Linked DNA regions of Astyanax mexicanus. The protein of the gene in region 4 interacts with the protein of the main gene of each other region in a pairwise test. Links are inferred from orthologs where the notes say so. Each region holds a gene or a part of one and is shown on either strand. Other genes may lie near its edges. The genes, in order: rad51d, myo5b, gcc1 and amotl2a.

What was found.
Region 1: the proteins of amotl2a (region 4) and rad51d interact in binary tests that used the Homo sapiens proteins (3 or more experiments, as listed by UniProt). The two-hybrid records come from large-scale screens. The link is inferred for Astyanax mexicanus from reciprocal best matches to the Homo sapiens genes AMOTL2 and RAD51D.
Region 2: the proteins of amotl2a (region 4) and myo5b interact in binary tests that used the Homo sapiens proteins (3 or more experiments, as listed by UniProt). The two-hybrid records come from large-scale screens. The link is inferred for Astyanax mexicanus from reciprocal best matches to the Homo sapiens genes AMOTL2 and MYO5B.
Region 3: the proteins of amotl2a (region 4) and gcc1 interact in a two-hybrid assay, tested with the Homo sapiens proteins (2 studies listed by BioGRID and IntAct). The two-hybrid records come from large-scale screens. The link is inferred for Astyanax mexicanus from reciprocal best matches to the Homo sapiens genes AMOTL2 and GCC1.

What each region holds. Positions count from the first base shown.
Region 1 is NC_064408.1:29,034,122-29,042,349, forward strand, and holds the start of rad51d (DNA repair protein RAD51 homolog 4), read right to left. Parts: upstream 3,267-8,228; 5' UTR 2,858-3,266; coding exon 2,776-2,857; intron 2,669-2,775; coding exon 2,607-2,668; intron 1,669-2,606; coding exon 1,550-1,668; intron 366-1,549; coding exon 284-365; intron 88-283; coding exon 1-87. Other genes in the region: tmem248 (transmembrane protein 248), read left to right, coding at 5,093-5,095. UniProt on the Homo sapiens protein: Involved in the homologous recombination repair (HRR) pathway of double-stranded DNA breaks arising during DNA replication or induced by DNA-damaging agents. Bind to single-stranded DNA (ssDNA) and has DNA-dependent ATPase activity.
Region 2 is NC_064424.1:6,583,046-6,590,508, forward strand, and holds the start of myo5b (unconventional myosin-Vb), read right to left. Parts: upstream 3,289-7,463; 5' UTR 3,084-3,288; coding exon 3,054-3,083; intron 1-3,053. Other genes in the region: cfap53 (cilia- and flagella-associated protein 53), read right to left, coding at 6,339-6,564, 6,672-6,774. UniProt on the Homo sapiens protein: May be involved in vesicular trafficking via its association with the CART complex. The CART complex is necessary for efficient transferrin receptor recycling but not for EGFR degradation.
Region 3 is NC_064409.1:35,742,935-35,751,305, reverse strand, and holds the start of gcc1 (GRIP and coiled-coil domain-containing protein 1), read right to left. Parts: upstream 3,142-8,371; 5' UTR 3,037-3,141; intron 1,520-3,036; 5' UTR 1,467-1,519; coding exon 381-1,466; intron 1-380. Other genes in the region: ADP-ribosylation factor 4, read left to right, coding at 5,485-5,551, 7,491-7,571, 8,033-8,142. UniProt on the Homo sapiens protein: Probably involved in maintaining Golgi structure.
Region 4 is NC_064412.1:48,137,943-48,145,790, forward strand, and holds the start of amotl2a (angiomotin-like 2a), read right to left. Parts: upstream 3,383-7,848; 5' UTR 3,209-3,382; intron 1,617-3,208; 5' UTR 1,534-1,616; coding exon 812-1,533; intron 556-811; coding exon 363-555; intron 1-362. UniProt on the Homo sapiens protein: Regulates the translocation of phosphorylated SRC to peripheral cell-matrix adhesion sites. Required for proper architecture of actin filaments.

The DNA.
Region 1 (8,228 bases), on a different chromosome or scaffold from region 4:
GCCTGCACACACTCCTCCACTTGTATCAATGTACAGCACATTCTGCTTGAGCTCATGTGCTGTGTTGACAGCCACACTAAAACACATCTAACGGGTGAAGAAAAAAAGATGCAACTATACTAATCTGGAAATGTTTGTCATTTAAAAGATGTAAAGCACTTACAAGAGACTACCAGCAAAATCTACTAAATTATTATTATTATTATTATTATTATAGGTGAAAATGTGAATGGATGGAATTTTATACGTTTGTTTATAGGTGATGTCAGTGAAAAAAGCTCACCTGTGTTTTCCCTGTTCCTGGACCTCCAGCCAGCTCTGTGATTTCTCCTGAGTACAGGCCAGAATCAAGCAGCTTGTCCACACTGCAGACAGGAAAACATGGAGAATGCCCTGATGCTAGAGCACAGTTGTACATGGACATACAAATTACAAGCATCTCAAACAATTCATGTAAATGCTATTTAGGCACATTGTTTTTCATTCGTCATCTAAGTTGAAGGTCATCTCAACTTACTTATTAAGCTTATCTTTACAAATCAGGATGTGAGGGGAATATGTTAACATATAGATATACAGGGGTTGGACAATGAAACTGAAACACCTGTCATTTTAGTGTGGGAGGTTTCATGGCTAAACTGGAGCAGCCTGGTGGCCAATCCTCATTAATTACACATTGCACCAGTAAGAGCAGAGTGTGAAGGTTCAATTAGCAGGGTAAGAGCACAGTTTTGCTCAAAATATTGCAATGCACACAATATTATGGGTGACATACCAGAGTTCAAAAGAGGACAAATTGTTGGCGCACGTCTTGCTGGCGCATCTGTGACCAAGACAGCAAGTCTTTGTGATGTATCAAGAGCCACGGTGTCCAGGGTAAAGTCAAAGTCAAAGTCAAAGTGGTTTTTATTGTCATTTCAGCTATATACAGAGTACACAGTGAAACGAAACAACGTTCCTCCAAGGACCATGGTGCACATAAACACAGTGTAGACAGAACAATAGTGCAACAGTACAAAAGTGCAGACAGACAATAAAACACCATACAGACAAAGAATAATAAATAACAAGACAGTGTGCAAAAAGGACCAGGTGAGGTAGTAATTACTCTATTACACAGTGAGGTAGTTGGTGGTAATGTCAGCATACCACCAAGAAGGATGAACCACATCCAACAGGATTAACTGTGGATACAGGAGGAAGTTGTCTGAAAGGGATGTTTGGGTGCTAATTTGGATTGTATCCAAAAAACATAAAATCACGGCAGAATTCAATGTGCACCTTAACTCTCCTGTTCCGCCAGAACTGTCTGTCGGGACAATAAATTATTGTGGTCTAAAACCAGGTGTTACAGTTTCATTGTCCAACCCCTGTATCTGTTTTTTTCCTACCCATACATTTATCCCCTGTTTACCTACAAAATGAACATCTAGCGTTGAGTCAGTAAATATGCACAGAATACAAAATTACAAACAAAATCTCTAGATATATTTTATTTGTACCATGCAGCTTAGCTACACATTGTCCTCTGTATATTTTATCACATCACCTGGGAATTCCTGTAGAGAGAATAGAAGTGGAGCTCAGTAATTCCTCGTACAGGTCTGCTCCTGAGATGGGGAACGCAGTGTGCTGAGCCAGAAGTACCCGTTTAAGAGCCACCAAAGCCTGGAATAACAGAGGACATTTGGCTGTTGTAACATCAAGGCACTCAAATCAAGATGGTCAAAGTATGGCTGATTGTTAAGGATTTTATCTAGCTTGTTTTCACTAGTCACTTAATTTGGATCTTGATTTTTGAACTGGATTTGGACAGCAGTGCGTGATGCATACATGCTCTGTAATTTATATTTTTAAATAAATAAAAGAATGTAAAAAGATGCATTTTTTATATGAGTATTGTATTGTATATATTATACAATAAAATGACACAAATGCAGTCCACCAGCATTGCGTAAGGTTCAAATCAACTATTCAAATAGGAAAAAAAAATGGTGTGTATGATTGTTGGTGCCAGATGGGCTGATTTGAGTGTATCTAGAACTGCACAACTGGTTTGTGTGCGCATAAAAGGGTAAAGTGTGCACTTAAGTTACTTCTGAACTTGTTTTGACCTTTTGGACACAGCTACTCCAACAGCCTGGAGCAAGAATACAGTTCAAAACACTGCAACAGTGTTGTCCACACTTGCTTAAATAATGGAATGTACTGAATATACAGATCCAGCATAGTAAATGGAATTCTATTCATAATTTGTTCAATGATTAATTATTATTTATTATTATTATTATTATTATTATTAACTGTTATATTTTATTTTACATGCAGACAATTGTTTTGATGTTTTCCTATGATTCCAAGAGGTTGCATATTCTTTAAGATATCTATTAAATTTGTCCTAACTTTCTGTGTAACACAGCTTTAAATCTTCACGTAAGGGCGAATAGTTTAGTAGTTTTACTGTGGTGGTGGTTAAAGGGGGGGGGGGGAGCTTTTACTGTTTTAACCACAAGTATCTCTACTTTAACTCAGGTTGCTAGGTTAGCTAGTTAACATACATGGTTTGGGTACTTCGTTCACCACTGGTAATGGCTTAACCTACAGACCTTATAAGACACCGAGCATTTCTGAGCCAGTTCTTCTGCGTCAGAGGAGACAAGGTCTTCCACTGAAAGATAGATAGGACGTGTTTTAGATGTGTAGGCATGTGTAGAAAATGCAGAATTAACCACAGGATATGTCAGGCTGTTATTTGTGTGCTATGGTTAACGTTACCTGTTCTAATACATTCTCCCTGTAGAGCTTTCACCATGTCCTCACTCAGTCCTGGACATAAACCTTCCCTTAAAAGAACCATCACCAGCTTGTTTTGAAATATTACCTTCAGCTGAAACTAACAGATAACTGGCTACATTTACAACTAATTACTGATATAACTAGCTAACCAAGCTAACAAGCAAACGGCTGGCTGAAATGACTTTTTTTAGTTAACGTTAGTTAGCTAAACTGCCCTGCTAGCTAGCTAGCAACTAAAGCAGGAGTGGTTAGCTACATCCTCGCTTCAAGTTAACTACATTCCCCAAATACGTCTGCCTGAAACCGTACTCCACACTGCTCCTCGACCGCAGCTACGTGATATTAAAACCTTATAAAATAAATGTACTTAAACCCACTAGGTTAAAGTTACATATTTACAGCCGCGACTCCCTGCCTGTACGCGCCTTAGGTTCATAGCTAAACAGAGCCAGCAAGATTGGCAGAAATTTCACCCAATAAAAATGTGTCCTGTTCTTTAGCGACGTCGTTTCAGCCAATGAAAATCCACGTAGAGGTCACGGCCCGCCCCCGTGGTGAAGCGAACCTCTGGAATTACGTAAAAACAGGTCTTCCAAATACTAAAACCAAAACTTCAGTGCAATAAGGTGGAAGAGGTGTCATTTAATATAATACGCGTCATTTATCCAGTTAAAATGTTTTATAAATATTTAAATCAGACACAGAATATACCTGTGATTTTGTGGAACAGGGAAAGAAACGATTGTTTATTTATTTTATCACTGTGTTTACAAAAGAATGGTTTAAACAAACATGAGAGCAACATATGGATTGATAGGTTATATCTGATGTAACGTTATTGTTTTTGTGGTAAATTGGAAGCGAAAACAAAGTATCTCATATAATTGTTTCAGATAACAGGGCGATTTCATATTCACAAAGTGAATTAGACTCTCTCAAACCCTTTTAAATATTAAGTAAGAAAAAGTGAGTTATTTTGTTTGTTTGTTTTGTTAATTATGTTACTATTAAATGCTCTTGACTGGGATATAAAACGGTTATAAAAGAACTAATAAAACACTACCCAGCTGGCACACAACCGACCTTCAACGTTGAAATGTGTTTGAAATATGACTAAAGTAATGTCTGTTGTTGTTTTAACGTTGAAACAACGTTGAATCAACATTTAATGTTCAATGGTTGTGCTAACGTTGAAATTTTAATGTTGAATCATCATGTAATGTTCAATGGTTGTGCTAACGTTGAAATTTTAATGTTGAATCAACATAATGTTAAATGATTGTGCTAATGTTGAAATTTTAATCATGAATCAACATAATGACCTCAACCTTCTGCCTTTTAAATCAGCATTTTACATTTTATCACCATATAATTTCTAAAAACGGTTGGATGGAGAAATGAAATAGTGTTTTACTATTTGCAGTAACTGCTTTTTAATTCAACACCATGTTTATGTTCTAATAGTTTTACAGTTGTAGTGTTTTTGAGATCAGATGTTGAATCAGATTGGTAGTGTTGGGTAACTTTCTTTATACTCAGCTTTACTACAGTGATGTACGCTTACTGTCGACACTGTTAACCATAGGATTTTCTCATTTTAGTGAGCTATGGTTTATTAAAGGTTGAACGTATGACGTATGACGCTATATCATTGATTCAACGTTGATTCAACCATAATATCTACGTTGATCAACGTTGATTCAACGTTTATTCAACGTTGAAATGCCAGCTGGGTAATGTTACAATATTGTGACACATGGATGAATAGCAATACTGATAATAACTCCCTTATAAACCATACGTCGCGCACTCAGTTGTTTTGAAATTTGCTTAAAATGTGTCACAGACATATAAGTTATTTTGGGCTAGTTTAAACTTCTGAATGGCTGTTTTTATATTAACTTTGGGCTGGATATTTTTGTTGGACCTGGCAACCTGTCTGAGCGGGGTTTTTTTTTTTCAGACCTGGCAACCCTAGTGACTAGCGTTGTAGCTAGTGCGTCGTAGTTAGAAAGCGCTAGTTTCCTGAGCCACTGAGTGAGTTCCTTGTTGAAGTAAGCTAACTGCCTGCCTATTTTTTTTTTTCTAAAGGCAGCCCCTATTGTTGCTTTACAGGGGTGACAGGGGAGCGGCAAATAATGGGAAGGAGTGCCCGCTGCTCCTGCACCGTCACTCGCCCTGTCTGTCCCCCGGCCCCGGTCCTCACTAGCTCCAGCAGTCCGTCTGTGGAAGCGTCTGGAGCCTGCTAGCTCTGCCCACCGCCCGCCTGTACCCGCTCTACTGACACAGCGCCAAAATGGTGAGTTTAGGGGGTCTGTTCGCTATGTATCGGAACACGCACCAGTGGTTCTGTACATACATTAGGTTATATAGGCCAGCTAAGGGTCTTTGTACGTTTTTATTGTGGAATTTTGCTAGTATTTATGCTAACAGGCTACTAGCGTTAACAGAGACGACGCCAGCTAACGCTAGTCTTGCTGCAAGTAACTTGGGTTGCTAGGCTAATGTAGCTAGCGTAGCATAAACGGTTCTGGCTAACGTAGCTAACTTAAGTGGTTTGCAGTTGGTTTTGAATAAAAATAGGAGATGTAGTTAGTTCGCTGTTCGCTAACAGGAAATAAAAGCTAAAATAAAGGTCTGAAGTTGCTGTTACTGATGTAAGTTACGTTTATTATCATTAGCGAACTAGCTAGCTAGCTGAACTAGTAGCAGTGGGTATAGTCCAGGTCCAGAAAGTAAAAGACCAGCCCAGGATTTTGTCTGTGCGGCTCGCTGCAGCTCAGCCCAAAACAAAAGTGCGGGCTGGAATTTTACTTTCTGGACCTGTACTAGCTAGAAGCTATCATGGAGCCAAACTCCACAGCTGCGTAGCTAGCATGTCAGCTGACAACACAGTGCTTTATTAGCTAGCCACTGTTTCCTGGATTTCTGCTGCTCGTATTCAGTTAGCTAGTTAGTTCATAAACACGACAGTATAGTCCAGCAGCTGTAGGTTTAGCTTTTACCAACAATATAACGGTTAGTTGTTAACCTTATTGTGTTGCTAGTTAGCTAAGCTAGCAATTTGTCTCATCTGTTTGATCGCTTCTGGACGCCCATACGCAGAAAGCTAGCATTTAGCTGTCAGCTGGAACCAGGATAACTCTTACTATTCTACAAATAGAATAACATAAATCAACATTATGCACAGATTATCAACATCATCGTCACGTTCATTTGTTTCACAGCCTGTCTGACTGTCTGAAGTGTGACATTGACTCATTCTTGTTGCTGTTGTTAGCTTCGATGTCTAGATGTGGCACGATTGGAATTTCTTAAGCTAACTTCCTTAACTAATACCTATACATTATTAAAGCGCGCATACACGGTAAAGTCCACATGCTTCAGCAACTACAAAAGCAGTGACTAAACGAAGCACATAAGGCACATTTCCAATGCAAGGTTGTGCCAAAGGCCTGTCTGGAACGGCTGAGGTATCTAACCAAGATGTGCAGGTAGCTGCCTAGGCAAACGTGACATAGCAGTGTTTTGCCTATGCAAACTGAGGGAAAGTAGATGCATTCCTGGTTATAGATGGACTTGCTTGAGTTGAAGTCTTTTGGCTGTAGGCGTTGATGGATCTGTTGTGGTGTGATCCTCCAGGGTGTTCTATAAAAATAGTGGCCTTTGAACAGTACACTGGGTATTAAAATTAAATGTTGCTGCATGTATTGTAAAGTGAATAATAGTCCTGAAGAACTAATATGGTTAAAGAACTTGGGCTGCACAATATATTGTTTCAGCAAGACCATAGGGTTGTGACAAGACACAATATTGAGTTCACAAGAACAAGACAAGATTATAACTATACTTTAATTTTGTAAAATTGAAATATATGATAGAAAATATTTTATTTGACTAAAACTCACATACAAACGCAAAACATACAGGTGAATATTTAAGTATTCAAAGCAGCACTAGGTAGGATTTCCTTGATTTTTGATCTTTTTAAAGAAGTGAAATTACAGCTTCAAACTCACTGCAGCGCTCCATTGAGGTGTAACAGGAGGAATAGCGGTGCTCTCGTGTCTGTGCCGGAGCTCCTCTGTGCTCAAACCAGACTCTGTAAGTTTTCCGAGGCGGCCGCGACCAACGCTCGCGAGAACTGCGACCTGCTTTCCGACCTTTAGTTCTAACAGTTCGACAAGGACTACTGATTCATTCTTTACAAACTGACATTCAGACACTCTGGCAGAAGCTGGAAAGAGACCGAATATGTCTGTGAAAGCCAGAAAACGACAAAGAGAAACTAATCCGCCTGAAACATTTATTACACTCTACAACTGTAGGGGGAGCCCACGGGCACAAAATCTAAGGCCTACCTAGTGGAGCTTTAACTACTAAAAAATGTTTTTGATACCGGTAACGGTTTGATACTTTGAATTCGTTACTGATACACAAGCAATACTTTTTCCCAAAAGTATCCCTAGGGGGTTATTTATTTAACTGGCAATTCTCCTTGAGGGTTCTATACAGACCTGCCAATCCTCATCGCATCACACAAAGTTGGTAATGTGTGTGGTGCACCACGTGGATCACGGAACAACATGAGCATGCGTGTGTACAGCAGCTACTGTTTGCTGCCCAAAATAATGAAACATTTGTTTTGGTTACCTGTGCATAAGTCTGGTAATACACATTTTTAACACCCGGTGAGAAATATTGTGCTATTGTAATCTTGTGAGATCTCGTGGCACAAGATCACCGAGCGTGCAATGTGAGATTATATCAATCATACCGCAAGTTTTTTTGCAGAGGCAAATTGTACGTCCCACATCTACACCTGGTCACTTCATGTGTCTTAAATAGTAGGATTATTTCTGGTGTCTGGATAAGCCAGAGCCACATAAAAATGCAAGCGTAAACACACCAAAGACACAAACCACTTAAGAAGAGATGAGATGCATTTGAGCCACATGTTATAGCAATGTAAACACATTCATCTCTCCAAGATGCATTTGACAACCAAAGCTTCTCCCAGTACAACCAAAAACACAGTAATAATTGTCTCACAGAGTGGATTTGCATATTCCATCCCACACAGCAGCCAGATTTCAGTCCTATTTACTGTAAATGCAGACTACCAAGTGTATATGCATGTGGCTATAATTGTAGTAGGATTCAATCCAGAGGCAAAGCACATAAACTGATCAGGTGTAAACAGAATCTTTACCTGTTTAATGTAATGTATTTTACTAAAACCTGGCATTTATATCATGGCATGCAGGATTATTGACTTCTACCAAGTTATGATAAAAAAAAAATCTGTTTTTTTATTTTCACAATGTATATGTGTATTTCTGTATGTTCAGTATTGTGCAACTCCATAAGCAATCCATTTAACATTTATGCCATTTGTCTTATGCTTATGATCCAAAATGACTAATATTGGC
Region 2 (7,463 bases), on a different chromosome or scaffold from region 4:
TCAGAGCATTAATTTGCAGAAAATGAGAAATGGCTAAAATGACAAAAAAAAAGATGCAAAGAAAACAAGTTCATATTCATAAAGTTTTAGTTCAGAGTTCAGAAATCAATATTTGGTGGAATAACCCTGGTTTTTAATATTTTTTTAATCAAAGTTTTCATGCATCTTGGCATATTCTCCTCCACCAGTCTTGCACACTGATTTTGGATAACTTTATACTTTACACTCCTGGTGCAAAAATTCAAGCAGTTCAGCTTAGTTTGATGGCTTGTGATCATCCATCTTTCTCTTGATTATATTCCAGAGTTTTTCAATTTGAAAAAATCAAAGAAACGCATCATTCCTGATTCCTGATATAATTTTAAGTGTGTAGTTTTTCATGACAAAAAGTGGATTTTGTTGCTAAAGTCCTGTTTGCTTCTGCCTTTTCTTTGCGCTTCGATATGTACATAGTCTGTAATTTTGATACCAAGTTACATTCACTGGCCATAGTAGATAAAAACAGGACTTGCTAATGGGTGCAAAAGTCTGCAACAAAAAACCCTACAAAAATGTTTATTCTGCATGTACCATAAATGAAACACTTTGTTCATGTGTCTGGTATATAAATTTTGCACATATTTTGCATTATATGTCTGTACATATTTGTTTTATTCAACAACGAACAGTACCAGTCAAAATTTTGAACACACCTGTCTTTATTTAATTCTAGATAAGATAGATTAATATTAAAGACATTAAAACAATCAAGGGACACATATGGAGTTACATAGTAAACAGTAAAAAAGTGTTAGTCCTCCACATGAATCCCCTAATCTAAACCTGATGAACTGAGATGGTGATTTGAGGTGATTTAATTGGTATGAGCTGGAGCTTCACAGTGTGAAGGAAAAACAGCAACTATTGTTCAGCACCTCCAGAAACTCCTTCCTTCAAGAGGAGAAAACTACTTCAGGAGAGTCTCCCTCATGAAGACACTGAGATCTGTCCTCTGTCCTCAAAGATAAATGTGCTATCTAGAAGAATCTAAAGTATAAAACATGTTCTGGTTTGTTTAACACTTTTTGTGTTCCTATAGAGCTTTTTTCCAAACTTTTGACTGGTGCTGTATCTCAGTATATCTCTGCAGGGTTCAGGCATTAAAGCACACTTGCTCTGTTATCTGCTGTTAAGTGCTGAGAGAGCAGAGGGCATGTGTGAGTTACTGGGTGTAGCACAAGCTTGTCAAAATCTCTTTTCTCTCCTTGTCATGGGCACCATAATGACATGCACATTTAGTTCATGAATAAAATTTGAGTGTAGGCTATTTTCCAGCTCTTAATCCCTTAATCCTTCTTTATAGTCTCTGCTGTGACCTTCTGTCACACTTGAGACACAAGTACAAATTCACGTATGGTTACTACAGCACCACGCCTCAGACCTAAAGTTACTAAAAGTATGGGATAAAATGAGATTAGAACAGTAAGATTCTTAATTATTCTTAAAAATGCAGCACTGGTTCAGGGAAAACTCTTTTAGATCCATAATGAACCATGTTTTTGGTCTGTGAGGAGATGTGTTAGTACCTCGTAAGCCCTTAGACAAAGGCGTGGGCAATTAATTTTCCCAAGGAGCCACATAATAAACTGGATCTGTTTTGGAGATCCAGACCGACTGATCTCAGTTCAGCTTAAAGTTAATTACCCCTTTAAAATGGAGTAATTATATGGTTTTGATAAGCTAAAACTGGTAGAGACATATCATAATTTAATCCACATCCTCATAAACAATTATGTTTCCAATTAAGAACAGCATTAAATTCACTTCATACAAAGCACTATTGCTGTTTGGTTTATGGTGTAATTAGCTCATTTACTGTTTTTCAGTATTTTTTGCTTGTTCAGTAAGAGAAATCTAGTCTTTTTTGGGTTTTAACAAGCGCAGTGAAGTTCAGTGCAGTTTCTAAGGTGGATATGTGAAGGGCCGTTATTGAAAGCTATAGGAATCAGATGTGGCTTGTGGGCCGTACCATACTCAGGTCTGCCTAAGACCCAGTATTTAACCCCACACTCCACTCCTCCTCACCTTCTGAAAACTACTCTACTCTCACAATTAAAGTAACTTTATTGGCCCCAAAATAGAACCATGTGGGACTCCACATGATATGCTTAGCCCAACAGTTGCCAAATAATCTATACTTAATCTATAAACCTAGGGTTTAAGGGATTAAAGGTCTCAAATTACATAGCAAAATATTTCCAGAGCTAACCCAACACTTGGTGGAGTTTGCTTTTGTACAAGTAAGATCAGCTAGTTAGCTAACAAGTGACTAAACTTCCTTGTAATGTGAATTAAACTAACACTGCAGGACAGATATATTGTCTTTTTAGTTCCTTGTTTGATGCAGTTATTATTAACACTAAAGTTAATTTAGCTAGCTGTCATCATTAATAGCCAAATGATCCAAAATAGTTTTTTAGTCCTAAAAGCTAACTCTTCAGAAGAGTTCATTTGTAACACTACACACCAGTGTTAAGATCATTTATCACTGTTAGTTTTAGTGTTAACTCCTTACGTAGAGTCAGAATTAACTCTATGAGACTTTTTTAAAAGTGTTAAAATATAAACCATATAAATAAGGTCTGTGAATCACAGGGAATCTTACGATATGATATTATCACAATATGTTGCCCATGATAACGATGATATCACATGATAATTCTCTATGAATACCAGTATTTATTGTTTTATTGGTGTCAGTTTCACAGAATTTAACAAATAATATTTTGCACCGCAGGTTTATTAACCCTATTTATTAATTATAGCGCCACCACGTGGAGTGATGAAGCAGAAACTTAAGTAAGTTGAATTGGGAGCGAGTGTTAGGGAGTTAAGAGCGACTATGTTTCAATAAAAAATATTGGTATTTGATGCCACGTATCGATACGATAAAAAACCCTAAAATAGACACTTTTAAAGTGTTAAAATCCAAAAACTCTAATAGAGTTATTTTGAGTTTGCTTATTATGCATCACATTTTAAGCACTCAAGCAAAGTAGAATAAACTGACCTACCTTCACATAAAGATCAGAAACAGTCGTCATGCTTTCTTCTTTGAACCGAAAACTGTACCCACAAACTGTATCAGTATCCACAAAACAAGTGATCTGAATCACAGGCCTGAGAAGCTGCTGACCATATTTCCTTCTTCTCCACTCATTTCTAGACGTCTAACATGAAGCACAAAGCTGAGGGTTGTGAACCTCAGACAGGGAGTGAAGTAACTACTGCAGACTCACACCAGGACTTGAGTAACAGCCTGAGCAACAAAACATGGGAGAAGACAGAAATGTCATCAGGCAAATCGCTCCACTCCCAAACCACTCCTTCAGCAGGTATGAGGTGTTGAGCTAGCTCTTTAACGTGCTTTACCTGTCATGGAATAGACAAACCTGCACAAACAAAGGCTGTGTTACACCTGTCGTAATCATTTAAGCAAGAAGGCTATTGGATAGAAGCTCTCTGCCCATTCATTATACCAACCTCTGCAATCTGCAATCCAGTGGCTCATTATTCAGGGTATTTACTGTACATGGGTAATTAGAACACATTACAGACACATTCAAGACGAACACACTGTCTCAGTATGACTTCATGAGGATGAGTTTGTATTGTGGGGGCGTATCTGTCTCACAGCAACAGATATCTTGACTTAAATGTCTTTACAAACAACTTATGGTAAGCTACAGTGCCATACTGTAGGCCTACTGATTCACTGATTCAGCAAGAATTACCTTTTCTTTATGTAGGACATCCCTAGTGAGAAAAAAAGTATTATTAATCAATATATTTAAAGAGAGCTTTTTTTTGCACTTATTATACGTTAATTGTATAAAAAATAGTACAAAACTCTTGCTTAAATTGTGCTAAGTGTGCTTAACTGTAATAAAATGAAACAATTTTAAATATATTTAAGTAACATTTAATCATCTAAACTAATTCATGTATGTAACCCCATATTTTAAATATGCTTACAGTAAAATTATATATTATATTATATATACATTTAATAATGAGTATTACAACTGTATCACTATTATTATACACCAGGTATATTAGAAATGTAATAAGAATTGAAGTTAAATATATGTGATCCATTTACATTACAAATATATATACTTCTTGTTGCTGTCTTTTTAGTATAAAAAGTATAAAAAAATAGTATACTTCGTTTGGTATAAAAATATATTTTAATATACTGTACTATAATTTTTTGTGTGTTACAAAATTACATTAAATTTATTTTCTAAAAGGTTACATGATAAATTTTACTTTAAGTGAACTGCTGTAACAGTTGTTTTTTTTAACACACTTTGCTAAAAATGTACAAAAGTATATTTGTAAATACGTATTTTAGAAGTATATTGAATTATATTAAACTTAAAGTGAACTTCATATTAGTCTATTTTTTTAAATACACTATATTGTACTTTTTAAAAAGTATTAATATTAATGTACTTTTAATATATTTTAAGTACATAAATCTGTTAGTATATTTACAGCAAACTTAGACATTTGTCAATATGTTTTAAGTACAATATATATATATATATATATATATATATATAAATATTTTTTCACCAGGGATATGATTCGACTTGTTTAAATAGCTGTTTGAGGAGTATTCAATTTGACCCCATAGAACTCCAGGCAGTCAGGTCTGGCCAGTTTTGCAAATTTAGGTACATAAACAGACTGCAACATAATACAAAAGTACACACAGCTTAATCCTCGCCTAAAATTAGCTGTACGTCACACATGAAAAGCATGCAAATTTTTGTAGCAGATCTTTCACAAGCAAATATTTTGACCATTAGATTTTTCACAAATATGGCATATTTTAATAGTTAAGATGTAAAGACAAAAAGTAGAAAGCTATTACATAATGTTTAATAGCAGTCTTATTATGCTGTGTTCCTTAATTGTCTAAAAGAGAGGATTTTGGGGAAGCTGGCTAAATGTTTTTGGTAGTTTTAAATAATACTACAATCTATCTGAGGGCGTGTCAGTGTGACTTATCTTTATAACATGTTCTTTTTATGAAAGCGCTTTGCTGTTAAAGCTGTCGTGCTTGAGGAGAGAGCTTTATACAGACTCTAAGTATTCTTTAGTTTATGCTGAGTACTAAAGTAGTTATTGTACAAATAAATATATGTTTTTTGTCCACATAGAGAAAGTATATATGTTTATTTTAACAGGTAAATCGTGTATTTGGAATACTTTTGACCATTAATTAATACTTTAATCTAATTATTTTTCCAGCAGCAGCAGAGTGCCAGAGAAAAAACATGTAAAAAATGCAATTTACCAGCACTTTTGCAATTTTGTTTTTTATATGGCTTATTTCTGGCAACCCTGTGGCTGGAGAAAAATACCCATAATAAACAGAGAAGAACTGTTAGACTAAGGTATCAATTAACAGTCAGAAGTGTTTCAAATGCCTGATTTACCTGTTGAAATAAACATATATATATATATATATATATATATTTCTGACCATTAATTGATACTTTAATCTAACAGTTCTTCTGTTTTTATGAATAGGTTTTTTGATTTTCTCCAGCAGCAGGAGCGCCAAAAAAAAAATAATTTACTATTTTATAATTTACGAAGATTACGCTTTTTTAATGGCTTATTTCTGGCAACCCTGCTGCCAAAAAAAAAATCCTTCTACAGATTTTTGACAGTATAAATTACGAAGAAATTAAACAATAACTTGCTGGAATTTCCATATAGTATGGATAGTATCAGACTTTTGTGGGAATTAGTATTTTTTGCTTCTTTGCTGTTAAAGCCGTCATGTTGAGTACTAAAGTAGTTTTTGTACATATAAATATATGTTTTTTTGTACACATAGTGGAAGTATATATGTTTATTATTGTTTATTATATATGTTTATTATTATGTTTAACAGGTAAATCATGTATTTGGAATACTTTTGACCATTAATTGATACTTTAATTTAACAGTTCTTTTCTGATTTATGGAAATATTTTTTTTTTCCAGCAGCAGCAGAGGCAGAGTGCCAAAAAAAGTTTTGTAATGGCTAATTTCTGGCAACCCTGCTGCCAAAAAACAGTATAATTGCTGGAATTTCCATGTATTATGAATAGTATCTGACTGGATAGTATCCTGTTGTGAGAATTTGTTTAATCTCAGCCTTTCTGGTTGAAGAAATGTCTGCACACTGAATATGCAGTTTGTGAAATTAATTTTATTTCAGTTTTTGTCTTTCATAGGAACATCAGAGTACTGGGTAAGCTAAACATGCAACGTTAGGCAATAGGCTTGAGGCAGGTTTAGCTGGAGGTGGGTCGAGCCCGTCGCCTGAAGGGGTGAACGGCTGTGGTGTTGGAGACAGGCCTGGACAGGATGTCCTGAATCTTCTGGTTGTATTTCTCCTGATAGACCAGGCCCTTACGGATCTCCTGCTCTTGCTCAGTCTGCTCCTGTTCCCACAGCTGCTGCTGGTGAAGAATCTGAGCCAACAGATCAGCCTGATATTCCAGACAGGATTCCCTGAGACTGCAGAACAGCGGGACACTGTATTAATGATTTGAGGCTGAGTAGACTGAGAGAGATGTAGAGTGAGGAAGAGAGACATGATAGAATAATTCTAGAAGAAAACCCACCGAGTTTTCTCCTGTTCATCCAGCAGCTTGTTCTCCTGGACGACTCTATTCAGGTCATCCCTCTCCTTCGCAAGTTCAACCTGTTTCTGTGCATTACGCTCCACTGGAAAGAAAAAAAGAAAGAAAGAAACGAAGCAACAACAAAAAAGGAAGATATAATTATCAGCATGTTTCAGTTTGAGTTTTCACACAAGTCGTATATTTGTTTGTTTCTATGTTCATCCTCTAATTTTAAACCTCAGGCCCAGAAAATATAGAGTTTTATTATTTTTATTTCCACTAAGTAGAGGAGTGCCAATCCAAAACTTAAGCAATAATACACTCGAGATTTGTGCTATACTGTGTAATATTGGCACTGCTGTGCTGCAATTGTAGGCACAAGGCTGCAGACCAGGTACTATAAATCAGCACAGCAGTGCCAATATTACATGTTATATCACAAACCTCGAGTGTATTATTCCGATTATACCACAGTTCCATTATTGCAGTTTATTAAAAGATTTAGAGTTAAAGAGGACAAGAAAATACAATCTGTTTGGTTATAAAAACTCAGCGAGTTAAAATTGTTCCATTGCTGCTCTGTAAACGCTGAATTTTGGCTAGGTTAGCATTGTGAAAATCATCTTACATTTAGCTTAAAATACCCTATATAAACTGGAAAATATATACACTTAAGCTTTTATTTTAATAATAACAGCTCTTAACCTGATACTGGTTGCTGATAATGTGTGAAATAATGTGTATTTTTTATTTTTTTATTTGTGGGACTGCATCTTTTTTTGTGCCGCCTAT
Region 3 (8,371 bases), on a different chromosome or scaffold from region 4:
TGGTCCTGAACTGTATTTTTGGGAAAGGGACAGTAATAATGGTGTACAGTGTGGTTAAGGTCTGGCAGACTTTTTTACTGTATTATAATATCTCTATTATAATTCTGATGGGGGAGAGGGAGGGAGGGAGAAAGAGAGAGAGAGAGAGAGAGAGAGAGAGAGAAGCATAAACTCTAGTACAAAAAAAGGCAATCTACCTTCTGAACCTGACAGTAAGTGTTTCTGTGTTATATTGCCAAATAAAACTGCTAATGCATCACCAGGCTCTGTCAACTGTGTCATTGATTCATTGTTAGCTACATTAGCAGAGCTTTTTTATTAAAAAAAGTATTGTCTGGTCGCTGGCATTTTAGAGACATTTGCAGTTGGCCAACACTTACCTTCCTAATCTCGTGCTGAATCTGCTGGTTAAATTGTGCCTTCAGGTCAGCAATCTCTTGCTGCAGCTCCTGTACCCTTGGATCAGGCTTATTTCTCTCAGCCTCTGAAGCCTGCAGACTCTTCCTCAGCATTTCACACTCCTCAGCCATCTTCTTCACCTGTTCCTCATAATCTAGTCCCCTGTCTGCAGCTTGCATGGTTTCCACCAAGGTTTCTCTAGCATCCTCCAGTTTAAGTTCAGCATCTTGTCTTAGACTTCTTTCCTCTTGCAGTAATTTCTGAAGCTCACGGAGCATGTGGGCATGATCACCTTGCTCCTGCTCCCGCTCGTGCTGCTGTGTGATTACGCGAGCCTTGCTCTCTGCAAGCTGCTCCTGCAAAGCCTGAAGCTCATTCTGGTACTGCTTGTGTGCCTCCTCCATCTTCCCCTGCATCTCCTCAAGGTCTTGCTTCATCTTCCGCTTGTCTGCTTGGAAGGAAGCCTCCATTCGAGACTTTTCCTGAGTGACCGTGGCCAAAGAGTTGGTCAAAGTAGACAGCTGAGACTTGAGTTGAATCACCCGGCGATCTACTTCAGCAACTGCTGAAGCAACGGGCTGATCTACACCTGCACTGCTGCCGGAACTGACGCCACTCTCCGAGCCACTCTGAGTGTCTTCTGACTGCTGGATCACTGATCCTTCTCCAAGGCCACTCTGATCTTCCTCTAAAGGGTCACCCTTAGTGCTGCTGCTGGTCACACTGGTAGCCGTGTCAACAGAAGCTGCTGTGTCCACACTGTCCTCACTGTGAATGGAACAGTGGTCATCTACAAGGTCAGTAGGTGGTGGGCATTCTGCTTTGCCAGTGCATCCACTGGAAGGTGGGTCATGGCTGTGTAGGGTTAAATCCACCTCCTGGGACACAGTGAGGACGTTCAGACTAGCTTCCAAAGCTTCCTTCTCTTTCAGCAAACTTTTATACGCTCTGACAACATCTTTTAAACGGGTCTGATATTGGATAAGTTGCTTCTTCTGGGCCTCAATTGTGTCAAGCAGGTCTTTCTTGCTTGGGCCTCCACCAAAGCTCATTCCAAACTTTTCCATTGTGAGGACACACTTAAAGTGCTTTCATAGTAAGAGCTGCAAAATATGTAAACCTGCAGAAGTTTAAAACAGAGGGAGAATGTGTCAGTAAATGCAATATTGGCTTGTTGGTTAAATGTTTAGTTACTACTATAATGAATGCTCCAAGTTAGTGATTATAAAACCTTCACATTTCATCATATTTTGGATATGTTATATGAACATATAACATATAATTGTTCTCTTCTCTTAACCCATTTAATTTAGATTTTTTTTTCGCCGGACATAAAAATATCCAAATCCAAAATAAGTTTTATGACAGGTCACAAATGTGACTTTGCAGCATACATTTTACATTTACCTTCTATGTACTTATCAAATAATATACATAACCCAGGCTAGTTATCACTATTTTGGAACAGAGCTCAAACAAAAAAATTACCATTAAATGTATGATGCCCATCATCCACTTTTATCTAATAATAGTGTACCTGGTATGTATCCGGAATAAATAAAGTATATATTTTTCTGTTTAACTACTTTATCTGTAAACTTTATTTGATTGTGCCGATTCAGTACTGTGATATATTTGTATATATACTTTAACAAAATAATTATTTTCCTTTTTCTAGTAAAGTAGGCAATTTGGAGAAGTTGTGACAGCGGTGACATTTAGTATTACAAGTGACAATACTTATAAAATATACTTAAGCCTTATTATAAAAGCACAAATTTGTTTTATTATACAATTTTTTAATAAATATATTAATTTTATCCTGGGACAACAATAATTGTTATAGTATGTAACTGATAAGCATAGAGATCATATTACAATAATAATTTAGGCACATTTCAATTTGTCTTTAGTGTTTAATTGTGCAGCTTAGACAATTATACTTCAATTGTATTAGGCAGAACTATGCAGAACTATGAATGTGTTTAAGTATGTATACTTAGATTCACTGTGTTATCCCATCAGCCACTATTATTCCAAATACATATATCATTACTCAATACAGCCATTACTTTGCATATTGCAATCAGGGTTTAAACAGCTCTGGTTATGTGCCTGTTTATATCTGTCCAGTCTCATTTATTTTTACTTAAGTTCTGACCATAGTGCAGCCCATACTTATACAATATTTCAATGTCAGCTACTGATTTACTGATTAAATCCAGCAATGACGAACTGAACTAGGTAAAACAGTAAACACTACAGCACATGGCACCCAAAAACCAAACACTGTGGAACTGCTTTAAAATTACTCCAGAGGCTGCATCACTATCACACACTAATCTGCGAATTACAGGAAAGCATAAACTACAACATCTTATAACTGTGGTTTCTACTACTGAAGTCAATACTGTTTTATTAAATCTTAATCCTGAGGTAACTTAGATAGGTTAGGTTAGTTAGGTTAACCTAACGTTAGGTCAGTTACTGCAAGCGGACCTCCTTATCATAACAATTAGCCCGCGAGCTAATCCAAACGGCTAACAAACAAACCCAGCAGAAACCCGGCGACCCCACTAAAGCAGCCGCTCTTTAAACATGTGATTTTTTTGTACTTTACTTAAACTGATTAAATACCTGAGATTTTGCATAAAGCGCGAAAGTCTCTCAGCTACGTGTCAAAATAACATTCCGTCTCTTCCTGCTTCTCTCCCACTCACAGGAAGTGACGTCCTGAAAACGCCTGGTGGCCTGTGACCCTATACGTAAAAAAAAAAAAAAAAAAATATATATATATATATATATATATATATATATATATATATATAAAATAATTAATTAAAACGGTAAATAAATATTTTAAATGAGAATTATTTCATTTAATTATTTATGTATTTATTTAAATATGAAAACGAAGCATAAATAATTAATATATATATATATATATATATATATATATATATATATATATATATATATATATATATATATATATATATATATTAATTCATTTATTTATATAATATTGTCGCAAATAACCCTCCATAGATTGGACAGTGAAGGAATGTAGTCGGAAAAATAAGTTATAATATATATACTTATATGCCGCCTAGCCTACCTAATGGCGAAGCAGCTGGTGTTATGGTAAATTCAGTTCCCCCTTTTCCCCCTTCACTGCGCATGTTGAAATCATGATGTAGCGCAGCTCTGATAGGTTCCATAGACCACTGTCATTATTTTTGTAGGCGGTGCCATGTTGTTTATGTCCATATTTGGGGTTCCGTGTCTAAGCGGTTCATGTGAATGGCGAATTTGAATAGGCTTTTTAAAAACTGGCCTCTATCACATTCTATCACATTCCTAATTATCACTGGATCCTCTTAATTTCGAGATCATTTAAGGGTTCGCGTTTACTTGAAGTTTGGTGGGCGTGAGATTTGGAGGGGGTGGGGGTTGTTTGGTGGTGGGGGTGCACACAGTTCCTCCTCAGTTGTTCAACTGGGGGGGAATACCATGTGTGGTGTGTAAGAGTGTTAACTTGCTGAGGTGGGTGTGTCACACGCTCAAAGCATGAGATTTGAGAACACTGTTAACAGCAGCTCAGATCAGAGACCAGTTAAATGCCACACAGAGTTCTAGCAGAAGACCCATCTCTAGAACAACTGATAAAAGGGAGACTGCGCAAAGCAGGCCTTCATGGTCAAATAGCTGCTAGGAAACCACTGCTAAGAAGAGGCAACAAGCAGAAGAGATTTGTTTGGGCACAAGGAATGGACATTAGTCCAGTGGAAATCTGTGCTTTGGTCTGACGAGTCCAAATTTGAGATCTTTGGTTCCAACCGCTGTGTCTTTGTGAGACGCAGAAAAGGTGAATGGATGGATTCCACATGCCTGGTTCCCACTGTGAAGCATGGAGGAGGGGCTATGGTGGTGTGGGGGTGTTTTGCTGGTGACACTGTTGGGGATTTATTAAAAATTGAAGACACACTGAACCAGCATGGCTACCACGGCATCCTGCAGCAACATGCCATCCCATATAATTTGCATTTAGTTGGACGATCGTTTATTTTTCAACAGGACAACGACCACAAACACACCTTCAGGCTGTGTAAGGGCTACTTGACCAAGAAGGAGAGTGATGGAGTGCTGCGACAGATGACCTGGCCTCCACAGTCACCGGACCTGAACCCAGTCGAGATGGTTTGGGGTGAGCTGGACCGCAGAGTGAAGGCAAAGGAGCCAACAAGTGCTAAACACCTCTGGGAACTCCTTCAAGACTGTTGGAAATTTTTTTTAGATGACTACCTCTTGAAGCTCATTGAGAGAATGCCAAGAGTGCAAAGCAGTAATCAGATCAAAGGGTGGCTATTTTTCCAGAAACTAGAATATAAAACATGTTTTCAGTTATTTCTCCTTTTTTTGTTAAGTACAAAACTCCACATGTGTTCATTCTTAGTTTTGATGCCTTCAGTGAGAAATAGTAGATAGTGTAAAGTATAATAGACAGTGTAAATAGTCGTGAAAATAAAGAAAACGCATTGAATGAGAAGGTGTGTCCAAACTTTTGGCCTGTACTGTACATCACCTCTTTACAGAAACATAATTACATTTCTTAGTTAGGTAGTTAAGCACACCATGCTACACCAATAAGAGGATCTGGACAAGACTTCTAATACATTAACATAAATAGGATTTGGACTCACAATACAAAAAACATATAGTTAGAGAGTGGGGACAGGTAACAAATGCTATTTCTTCAGTGTTCTAAGTAGGTTATTAATGTTTTATTATTAAGTTATTTTGTGTGCACATTTATACATGTAATTTCCTGGGGACAGAAATGGCACCGATTCGGCGGAATATGCCTTAAAGTGAGTGTAAAGTGAGTGAGTGAGTAAGTGCACTACAGAGGGAACAGACAGTCGTTTGGGACTGGGCCTCACTGAAGACGCGCTGACGTCATTTCTTCCGCGTTGGCCTGGCCGTGGACGGAGGTCAGCTGCAGAGACAGAGAGCGGCTCCACTGCTGGAAACACCGGCTGATTTATTCTGTTATCAGCTCTACATCTCTCTGATCTCCTGACCATGGGAATCACCATATCCTCCCTGTTCTCTAAGCTCTTCGGGAAGAAGCAGATGAGGATACTGATGGGTGAGCGAACGGCTGTCTGTCTGTCTGTCTGTCTGTCAGAGCTCTCGGCTAATGAAAGCGAGACCCTCTGATCATCACAGCCCTTTTTACACATTAACACCATTAACACATACGAGCACACCGCTAATGCTTTACTCACAGCCTGATCAGCACATAGTCTCTTCTCCTTTACTATCAGTCAGACCGACCCTGAGCAGCAGGTCAGCTGTAGAGCTGTAGATCTGACCTGCGGACAGTTTAAGTGTCTCCTCCTGTTGTTTTATTGATGCCTAAAGTAATTTAATACTCGATCCTCAGGTGGGTCGATTTACCTTTACTCGCTCCCTGAGCACAGCCTGTTCTTTCTGATTTAATTAAATTGTTTAAATGTAAATACCTTTACTCATACGCTCCTGAATATTCATGAGATAATTATACACATCTACCCTTTTATTCCCGTCTATTCATTTAGTTCCTTGCTTATTTTCGGGATTAATTTAACCTAAAGAGCCCATGGTAATTAAAAGCTCCTTACAGCACTCTGTCCTCACTCAGAAACTCCTTCACTGATATAAACTGAACATAGCCCACTGATCATCAAAATTTGAAATCCAAATATGCAAACTATACTTGGATCAACAAATAGAAAGGCTGCAAATGCTGTAAATATTTGCCACCATTTCTTATGCCCCGGTATATCATAAGTTACACTGCCTGGACAAAAAATAGTCTCCACCTGCATTTAACTAAGTAAATGATGGGGGTTGCTGCAGTTGGGGGATGGGGTGTAGTAATGTAGTAACTAGGGATATACTAATAAGGGAACTCATGCAGATTATAAAATATGTCCACAGGTGTTTTTCTAATTAACTCAGATGTTGCCAATAAACCTATCAGAAGCTTCCAAAGTCATTATATGATCATATGGGCTGTGCCAAATTGTTCAGTCATAGTAATCTTAGCGTATGTAAACTTTTGACTAATAAAATGCGCACAAAATGATGTCGCTCTCATTATTCTGGCATTTGGAAAATATAATTTAGGAATTCTAATTGACCTAAAATGGGAAAGGTTTATTCTGATGTCATGTTAGACAATGAGGAAAAACAAGGTTAACCTCTTTTAAAGCCAGCTTTTTTGTCAATTTTCTGCCTGATATTACATGCCTAAATATTAAGGCTACCTATTCAAGCATTACATAAAAAGGGTTCATATTTGATAGGAAACATTACTGAAAATCTGAGAAAATATTTATTAAATATTTATTTAAATCTGCAACTGTAGATAATAAAACATAAAGTGAATAAAAATTATAGTGGATAAAAATCACAAAAATGGCACTTTCCTAAGCTTCGTTTTAAAATCTGTATTTTTGTGAATACAAATATTTTAATGTGCTTCAGAACTTTAATTTTGTTACGGTTGTCTAGTTTTTATGTCTATTTTCAAACATTTTTAAAACAAATTATTAGGTGGAGTAGAGGGTGAACTGGCAGCATCTCCTGTAGGAGAGTCTCTAAAGGCCTCAAATTCTTCAGAATGTAAATGGCTTATTTTGCTACAGAGAAAAAGGGTTTTATATAACCTACACATAAGTTCAGCAACCCCTCTGTTAGATGTAAGATTGTTGGTTGGTTTTATGATGGTTTAGATAATTCACAATTCAAGCAAACGCCAAAAACAACTTTAAACTTCAAAGTACTGAAGTACCAAATTGCATTGTAGTGTTTTGGTTCATCCAGCATTTGTTAGCATGGGCCTTTCAAAACTTTGAAGAACATACTTCTGGCATCCTTAAAAAAAATGTTACATTACAAAAACTTACATATTATTGAAAATAATAGTGTTTCATATAATTTCTTGTTGCCACCTCTGTACTTAATGTGAACTGAATATTGCTTGCTAAACAAGTGATGCTGTTTGCTTTTAATATTTCTTAATATGTTTGCTTTAATTGCAGTTGGTCTGGATGCTGCTGGAAAAACTACCATCTTATACAAGCTGAAACTGGGAGAGATTGTAACCACTATTCCAACTATTGGTATTTATTTTTTTATTTGTCTGCTAATTTACTATTTTAAGTCGCTCATTTGTGGCATTAAAAGAATGTAACATGGGTTTATGTGAGAAATAATATAGCCACTGGAGTGAACGTGAGGGGTTATGGATATTTGATTCATATTTTCCACAGAACAGGAAATGACTCTCTTGTGTTGCAACATCTTGGAAATACTGTTTTGTAAATGTATTTACATGAAACACATAGTTATAGTAGAGCCATCTGTTAACGGGTTTTCCAAAAATGTGAAAAACCCTTTAAGAACCCCATTGGTTATTTGACTTTACATAATTCTATATACAACAGTTCCGTTACTAAAGAACTTCATTCAGAGTACATTTGACAAATAGTACATGGCTTATCTCCTTATTATTATACATGTAATGTATGTGAATACATATTGTTAGTAATGTAGTTGTGTTGTTTTTTTTGATACTGCTTAGGGTTCAATGTGGAAACTGTTGAATATAAGAACATTTGCTTCACTGTGTGGGATGTCGGTGGCCAGGACAAAATCAGACCGTTGTGGAGACACTACTTCCAGAACACACAGGTATGCTCCATGGCAGCAAGAGGATCTTCAAGTAGGATGCCACACTGATCTACAGATGCTTTTTTTTTTTTTTTTACACAACTTTTTTGTTTGGTCCGGACTTTCTGACTTGTTTTGGACCAAAATATCAGGTGTTAAAGGAGTTTTGAACCATATTCCTGACCAAAAGGAACAAATTTGATCAGACCAAGAGAGGTAATTTCCCTGCGGATCTGAAAACGTAAAAAAG
Region 4 (7,848 bases):
TTTGGCGGTGACTGCACTCTATGATTTCTTTCTTTCATCCACACCCACTGTAAGCTGTTTTTCAGCTCAAAACAGGAGGGAGCCCAAATGCTGTCCTATTCAAAATGTGTAAAAAAAATGTAGCATATTTTATTTAATCGTGATTTTTTTTTGTATTGTGATATACACTATACACTACTTTTCTGAGCACATCATGGATATTATCAATGCTTAAAGAACACGGACCAAATAAACATATATATATATATATATATATATATATATATATATATATATATATATATATATTCACACACATGTCCATACTTAGTATAAAGCTCAAAACATGTCATGTCAAGGCAAAACCAATCGATTTCTCTTACCTTCTGTAGTCTCACTGCTTTCTCACTGTAGCTCTCCACCTCCCTTCTCAGCTTCTCATTTTCCTTTATGAGTTGTTCCATTTGAGGATTAGGAGCCTGGATGCTGTATCCTGCGACGATGACCTCCTGGCCAGCAGGGGGCAGTGTGGGCAGGGTATTGTTTCTGATCACCTGTGACTGGGCTGGTACATATCTGGAAGAAACAAACCAAAAATCAGGGTTGGTATGCTTATTTAATTTACTTTTGCAAAAAACGTGTATTATATGTGATATGAAAAGATAGACCTGTCAAAATAATTATGTTAGCAATTTATCTTACAGAATACGAAAATGTCATTTTTGCTGACAGTGATACTGGCAGTTGTGTTAACTTTGTTATGAATGTTTATGAATGTCAATATAACGTCAATAATATTGTCTATTCCAATGATCAAATATTGATTATTTACCTGTGGTGCTGCGAGTGGAACGCCGGAGGGGGTTCTTTGTAATAGTGCCCGTTCTCCTGCGAATGGCTCAGCATATATCCAGGGGATTTAACGGTAAAGGGGTACTCCGGAGGTGGCCCGCGCTGATCATGCCCGTGATCAAGGACAGCAGCACCAGCGTGGCTATGCCCGAATAGCTGGGGGTAACTATGCGATGAGCTCATTGGCATGTTATCATGAGCACCGTTCCTTTCCAGGGAAAGCTGCATGAGGCGCTCACTTAGTGACCTGGCATGCTCCCGTTTGAGGTCCCATGTGCCCTGGTCCTGCTCGAGCCCCGAATCTGCGCCGGGGGTGTCCAGCCCACCCTGCTGCAGGCCGGCCTGACCCCTCTGAGAGGCCAGGTACTGTGAGTGGGCCTTGGCCTCCTCGTAGGTGGGCAGCTCTTCCGTGTGGAGCTGGTACAAGTGGCACACGGGGCTTTCCGAGTGCTGGTAGTCCCCCTGGTGCTCCTGACCCTGGGGTTCCTGTCTCGTGGACATCTGGAGGAACTGGGACTCCTCCTGAGTTAGGCTCTCCAGGGACGAGCGAGGGCTGCCAGCGCCCCCGCCGCTGCCACTGCCACGCAGGGCCTGCTGTTGGATGGCCAGGAGAGTGCGGGTATCCGTGGGGTTGCCATACCGAAGCTGTTCCTGGATCAGCCGGTGCAGCACCGTGCCCGAGGACTCCTCCGCGGTTCTCATCTCAGTCAAGGTTCAAGTGTAGTGCCAAAAGAATATAACACTTGACGTGATGATTGAGCGATTATGTGGCTTGACCGGTCAACCTGGGTTTAAAAGTTAAAACAATTACAAACATTAGTAATGAAAATAGCATGATAATAAAATTATAAAAAGTATATATATATGTAAATAAATAATATTAAAAACTAAAAATAGCCTGTGGTTCAGTGGATTATACTCTTAAACATTGTGTGTAGACCCACACTTAAGTTCAGTTTAGTACAACAAACTAAAATTGGCCTATGTTTCAGCAGGTAAAGGCAGTAGTTCTTAAACTGTGGTCTGTGTCCCACTGTTGGTATACCAGATGACCTCAGAAAATGTGTGGAATGCACTAAATAAAAGTAATATCTGTTGTTTTAATGTGTAACTTACATAACAGTTGTTTTTGTTTAATGCTTAGCTGTAGTTTAATCATAGAGCATCATTCAAAAAGAGAAATTTAGGTTGTGAAATGGGTTTCCCTCCAGTCCACATGCCCCCTCTAGAGCAACAACACCACCTCAGCCAATAAAAATCCCACATAAACCCCCTCAACCAACTACATTATGGCTTTTCACAAATATCCTCACACATTCACTATCAATTTTTGCTTGTCATTAATTTCATAAAGGTTTTTTGCACTAGATTACAGCTTGTGAAACACAGTTTCACACACAGACCCAACATAACCAACAAAACCTCCAGGTATGTGTAACTTGAGGCAGTTTGACCTTATGGCATTTACTAGAGTCTGAGTGAGACTTCTGAACCTGCATTTGCGTCAGTCTTTTCCTGCTCCAAATTCCTCTCCTGTAGCCTCACCTTCACGCAACTGAGCAAACTCACATTATTGAGCAAGCAAATAAGGCCTCATTTACAGCAAATAGTGCCAGAGTATTCCACACAACCCCAGATCCACATTTAACAGTCCAAAAAGCTGGACAACATAGGAAACATTGGAAACATGGGAACGCTTTAATAGTTCTTGGTACAGATGTTGTACTAACTAGATAATAGGTTAGTATTTTGTTGTATCACAATAAATATAGTTTTATGAACATACAATAAATATTGGCAGTGCTAAAAAACACTGATCCACTGCAAATCATAGCTAAACTGTCCAAAGAAAATCATGTATTCCATATATTGTCTTTATAAAAGAAGGAAAAGGTCTTCTTTACTTTATGCAATAAAATGGATAAAAACGTTTTTTCTTTTTTCAAACATACTTGATATATCATTACAGAAAGTGTAGCTAATTATTAGTGTTTAATTGGATTTTAGTTTAGTATATTTGTAATAAAATAACTATATTAGCTAAAAGTATTGGAAGCATCTGAATATTAGTTTTCACAAATCTGATTTTTTGTGCATGTCAAAATATTGCAATAAAAGTATTGTGATACAATATTATATACCATATCGTCCACCTCTAGCTAAATAACTAACACAGCAAGCTACATTCTTTAAACAGAAGTAATAAAACACAGAAATAACAGATAACTAGTTTAGTGAGAGAACAGAAATAGGAATCCAGTAAAGGAAAATAGATAAGATACACAAATGTATGTTAAAAAGAAAGCGAAAATGAGCTTAAACTGAAAACAAATACACATAAACCCGCAGTTTGTGGCTGTTTTACCCCAGAACTCACCGAGTTACTCCGGCATCCCTGCAGAAATATGAAGTTTATGAGGGTAAATGCTGAGTTTTAGATCCTTTAGAAGTCTGTACAGCTCGGCGGCTGTGTTTATATCCGTGTTAAAGCTGCTCGCGGGCTGTGCTCGCGCTGCGCTCCGGCGGCGGACTGAGGCCGGGGGGAGGAGCCGCGCTTATTAAGCGCTCGCGCTGATTGTTCTCCGGCTCCGGAATGTCAGGAATGTGAAGGCTGCGGGTCCCACAGGGATTCACACAAGCCCCGCCCACCGGACCAGGATTGGCTGCTTGCGTTCCCGCTCCTCTGCTGGGATTGGTGCAGAGCTCAGTGCTTATATGTTGAGATATATTTTATTTAATCATGTTTATTAATGATTATATTTAGATTTACTCGAGTTTTTAACCACTTTTTCATATATGAACAGTTTTTTACCAACTTAACAAAGCAACTAAAACATTTATTTATACATATTTAACTTCTATTTAGGAATTTCTAAAATATATATTTAGATTAATTCTAGAACAATTATGTAGATCTAGCTTAGATTTACAAAAAGATAGTTAGTTTATTTATACTTAGCTTTAATCCATCTATTTTCAATATATTTGTATAGTTTATATTTCGTTTCATAATTTTATTGCTATTATTATCATTTTCTCTTATTTTATTGATGTTTTATTGTAAGTTTACATTTATTTACATATATGTTTTCTTTGTGTTTTTATTGGTGATCGTATGAAATGTGCTAAATCAATAAAGTATTGTATAAAAATATTATGCAGCCAAACATACACATACATTTTTATTGTGGCTGAACTTCATCTAATTAAACAGCACTAATTACACTGGCTGTAGTGAAATGGTAAGTTTGTCAGGGTTCTTGAAGCAGAAATTATTAAAAGTATATTTTGTATAATTTCTGAAGCATTTCTGCTACTGATGGATTCATTAGAAGGGGTGTCCACAAACATTTGGACAGTATAGTGTATCTGTAGCGTGAATGGCAGGAATGTTCCATTAGGTGTGAATGGGTGCAGGTTAGTTTGGCATGTAGGCCTATATGTGTGTGTATGTATATGAATAGAGTAAACATGAATAGAAGGAATGTTGACTCCTGTTTTCTCATAGATTTTTAAACATTACTGTAGAGATTTAATTGCTTTCAGTGACAAGTGTTACTGAGAGCAGAATGTTGGATGAGGACAAAGGCAGCCATATGTGTTCAACATAATTTGTCCTTTATTTCACTGCTCTATACCCCCCAAATATTTTACACACATCTACACAAGGTATGGGTAAGTAATAGTTATTTATTGTTTACAGCATTTGAACACACCAGCTGCCGTTCACATTGTGTCCAGGTTTTTACATTGACTTCCACTGGAAGTTAGAAGTGGTTCAGAGAAAAGTATCCAATTGTTTTATTCCAAATAACTTTGAGTCATTTCTATTAGTCTATTCACCATATCATTTGAGTTTAAATGGGTTTAAATAATAGAAAAAAAAATCAACAAAAATGGAGATACATGCTTTTCACACAAATCATATCTCGCAAACAGCTACTTTTTTGTTGTACAAAATTACAGGAGTAAGAAAAAAGGTCAATGTAAAAATATGTTATTTCAAGCCATTTTGAAGTGTTTCTATTGGTCCAATTATCATAAAATTCCAATATAAAAATGATAATGTTTAAGTTCACATTCTGAATTCTGAATGCTTTGCCACAGTGCAATTTTCCTATTCATTTCATTATTAAAAAAAGAAAACACTGTTTTTCACCAATTTAATCTATTTATTCTATTATGTTGTTTGCAGCACATATCTAAAAAAAACTAAAGAATACTGAAACCTCCTCTGTAAGATTAAAGCGGTATATTTGAACAGGAGTGTGTATGGTGAGTGTGGAATGTGTTGAATGAGAAAGCTGGTAAAGTATTGATTTGAGCTCTTTTGTTTGCCTTCAGCTGGTGAATATTTAAGCCCTGGCCCGTGCCAGTTAATTGCTGAGTGTGTGTCTGTGTGGACAGTGAGGGAGGGGTGTGTGTGTGTGTGTGAGAGAGGCATGCTGCCTGCCAGCTGTCTCTGGAGTGCACTGGTCTACCCCTCCTTAATAAGCTTTCAGATAGACGCATTGTTCTTCCCACAGCAGAATTACAGGGGAGAGTCTACCATCTGCTCCTACATACACCATACACCACCATACACACCCCCCACACCATACACACACCATACACCATCCCCCTACAGACCCCTCTCACTATATATCAACGTTTTTTACACAACCCAAAAAAAAAAAAAAAAAAAAAAAAAAATATATATATATATATATATATATATATATATATATATATATATATATATATATGTGTGTGTGTGTGTGTGTGTGTATGTGTGCATAATGTTTTTGTATGACGTATGTTTTTGTAAGAATGTATGATGATTTTATTCCAAATAATTCAAAGTATTTTTTTTATTGTTTACATGTTGAAGCACACAGAAAATACTGATGATACATATAGTGACCATCCAGCTTGTTATCAGCACACAGCATGCCATTTAAAACAGAAAACATTTGGTACATTATAAAAGAAAAAATCTGGCAAAAAAAGATCTAGCATTATTGAGCAGCTACAGGTAACATTCTTAGAATATTTAATCTGTTAAGTTTTCTGGATGTTCTTAGAATATTTTAATTTTACACTTTTAGATATTCTGGTAGCGTTGCTGCAACATAGTTTGTGTCAATGTTTAAATGTTTCGTTTTTATTAACATTTTCATAATGCTAGTATTCATCTAGCTGGGAATGTTGGGTGAAACATTCAAATAGCATTGTGATGCAAACCATTATTATGTCACACTTTTCAGGACATTCCTGTGAGTTTATTACTGTAACATTACAAGCTAACTGTCCTAGAACCTTTTCAAAACCTTAATAAACATTCTTATAACATTCTCTATTATCTGGGTTGGAACTAAGTGTTTATGATGAGTTTAATAGACATCAATGTCAACATAATTAATAACTTTCTATTAAAATTTTGGTGGTGCAAGAGTCACACTAGAGTCTGTTCACCTGGGATTATTTTAAAAGCTCCTGTAAGTGTGTAGTGTGCAGTTGTCCCAGTACCTTTGTCCAAAAAGTGTGTTTCAGAAAATCAGAATAGATCAAATATAGGCCATATCTTTTTTGTAGGACACTTAGCTTATAAGATGTCCTGTGCAGCTGCTTACCTTTGCCTAGGGCAATAACAGTGCCTGTATATAAAGTACGTAAACACTACATACGTACTGTAAACACACTCACCTGCACGCACACACCCCTATACAATCTACAGAATGCAGGTGCTTTGTGAAAAGGAGAATAGGACTGATCTCAGTTTTTGCAGCACGTAAAATCAGTCCATTTAACCCAATACTGAGTCCAGATGGTTAGTGAGAGGCAGCTGTGTGTAAAGCAGCATGTCCTCGCTTGTTGATGCTAGTGAGCAGTTGGTGTGCCGGATGTGTGGATCCACTGCAATCATATCACCACATGGATCTGCTTTTACCAACATCCTTCAGTTAACAAACTAAACCCACCCAAGAACCGGATCATCAGCAAACATTTCACTCAGAAAACGCCCGGAGATAACAAAAATCACTTAGTTAACAGAGATAGCATTCTCTAAGCTGTTTAAGCTAAGCTAAGAGATTTTAATCCAAAATCGGGTAATACGTAGTGTTTATTTATCATTAACATTTCCCTGTAGTAATGTATTGCCAATAGACTAGAAGAAAATAACAAACCAGTGTTAAATACATTTTAGATAATTTATATTCTACTAACATTAAATGATAGAAGGGATATATATATTTTTTTTCAGGAAGAACTATTAGTACTATTACTATTACTAGTACTATTTTTCAGGAAGTACTATTAGTATTATTAGTAGCTGTACTATTAGTAGCTGTACTCACTAACTCAGCTGTACTCACTAACAGAGAACGCTATGAGAACGCTTGGCAATGTTTTTAAAAAGGGTCTAGGAAGGTTAGCCTGTAATGTTATTATAAAATAATATTACAAAATGTTCAAAAATGTTCTAAACCCGTGTGATATAGTAGTAGTATGTATAATAAAGGTTTGCTTTACAACATTATTAGAATGTTTTTTACATAACGCTCAAAGCTAAATAGAGCTAAACAAAGCCATTTCTATTGCGCCATTCATCATAAAATTTATATACAATATACTGTATCAGATAAATGAAACAGATTCCTTTTTATGTTTAAGGGTAATGCTGAGTATATCATCCATTTTCTCTATCCCACTCATTTATTTTAATTTGAAGGTGATGTTGACTTCAATACAAACTCTCTGCTTGTGATTTTGATTCAACAGTGAGGCTCACTAAATTATGTTGCTTTAAATAATACTTTGGTTAGTTGGGGATCGGGGTGGGTTAGTGATCATCCACAAACCTGACCTCACTAGCAAAAACAAATCCTCACAGCAATGCTCCAAAATCCAGTGAAAAGCTTTCCTGAACAAAAGAGACCAAAGGATCAAAATGTGGTCCAACAAAATAGATTAATTGATTCATGGTCTGGTTTGTTTGCAGTGTAAAAACTCTTTTGTAAATGGTTCAGGCTTTTG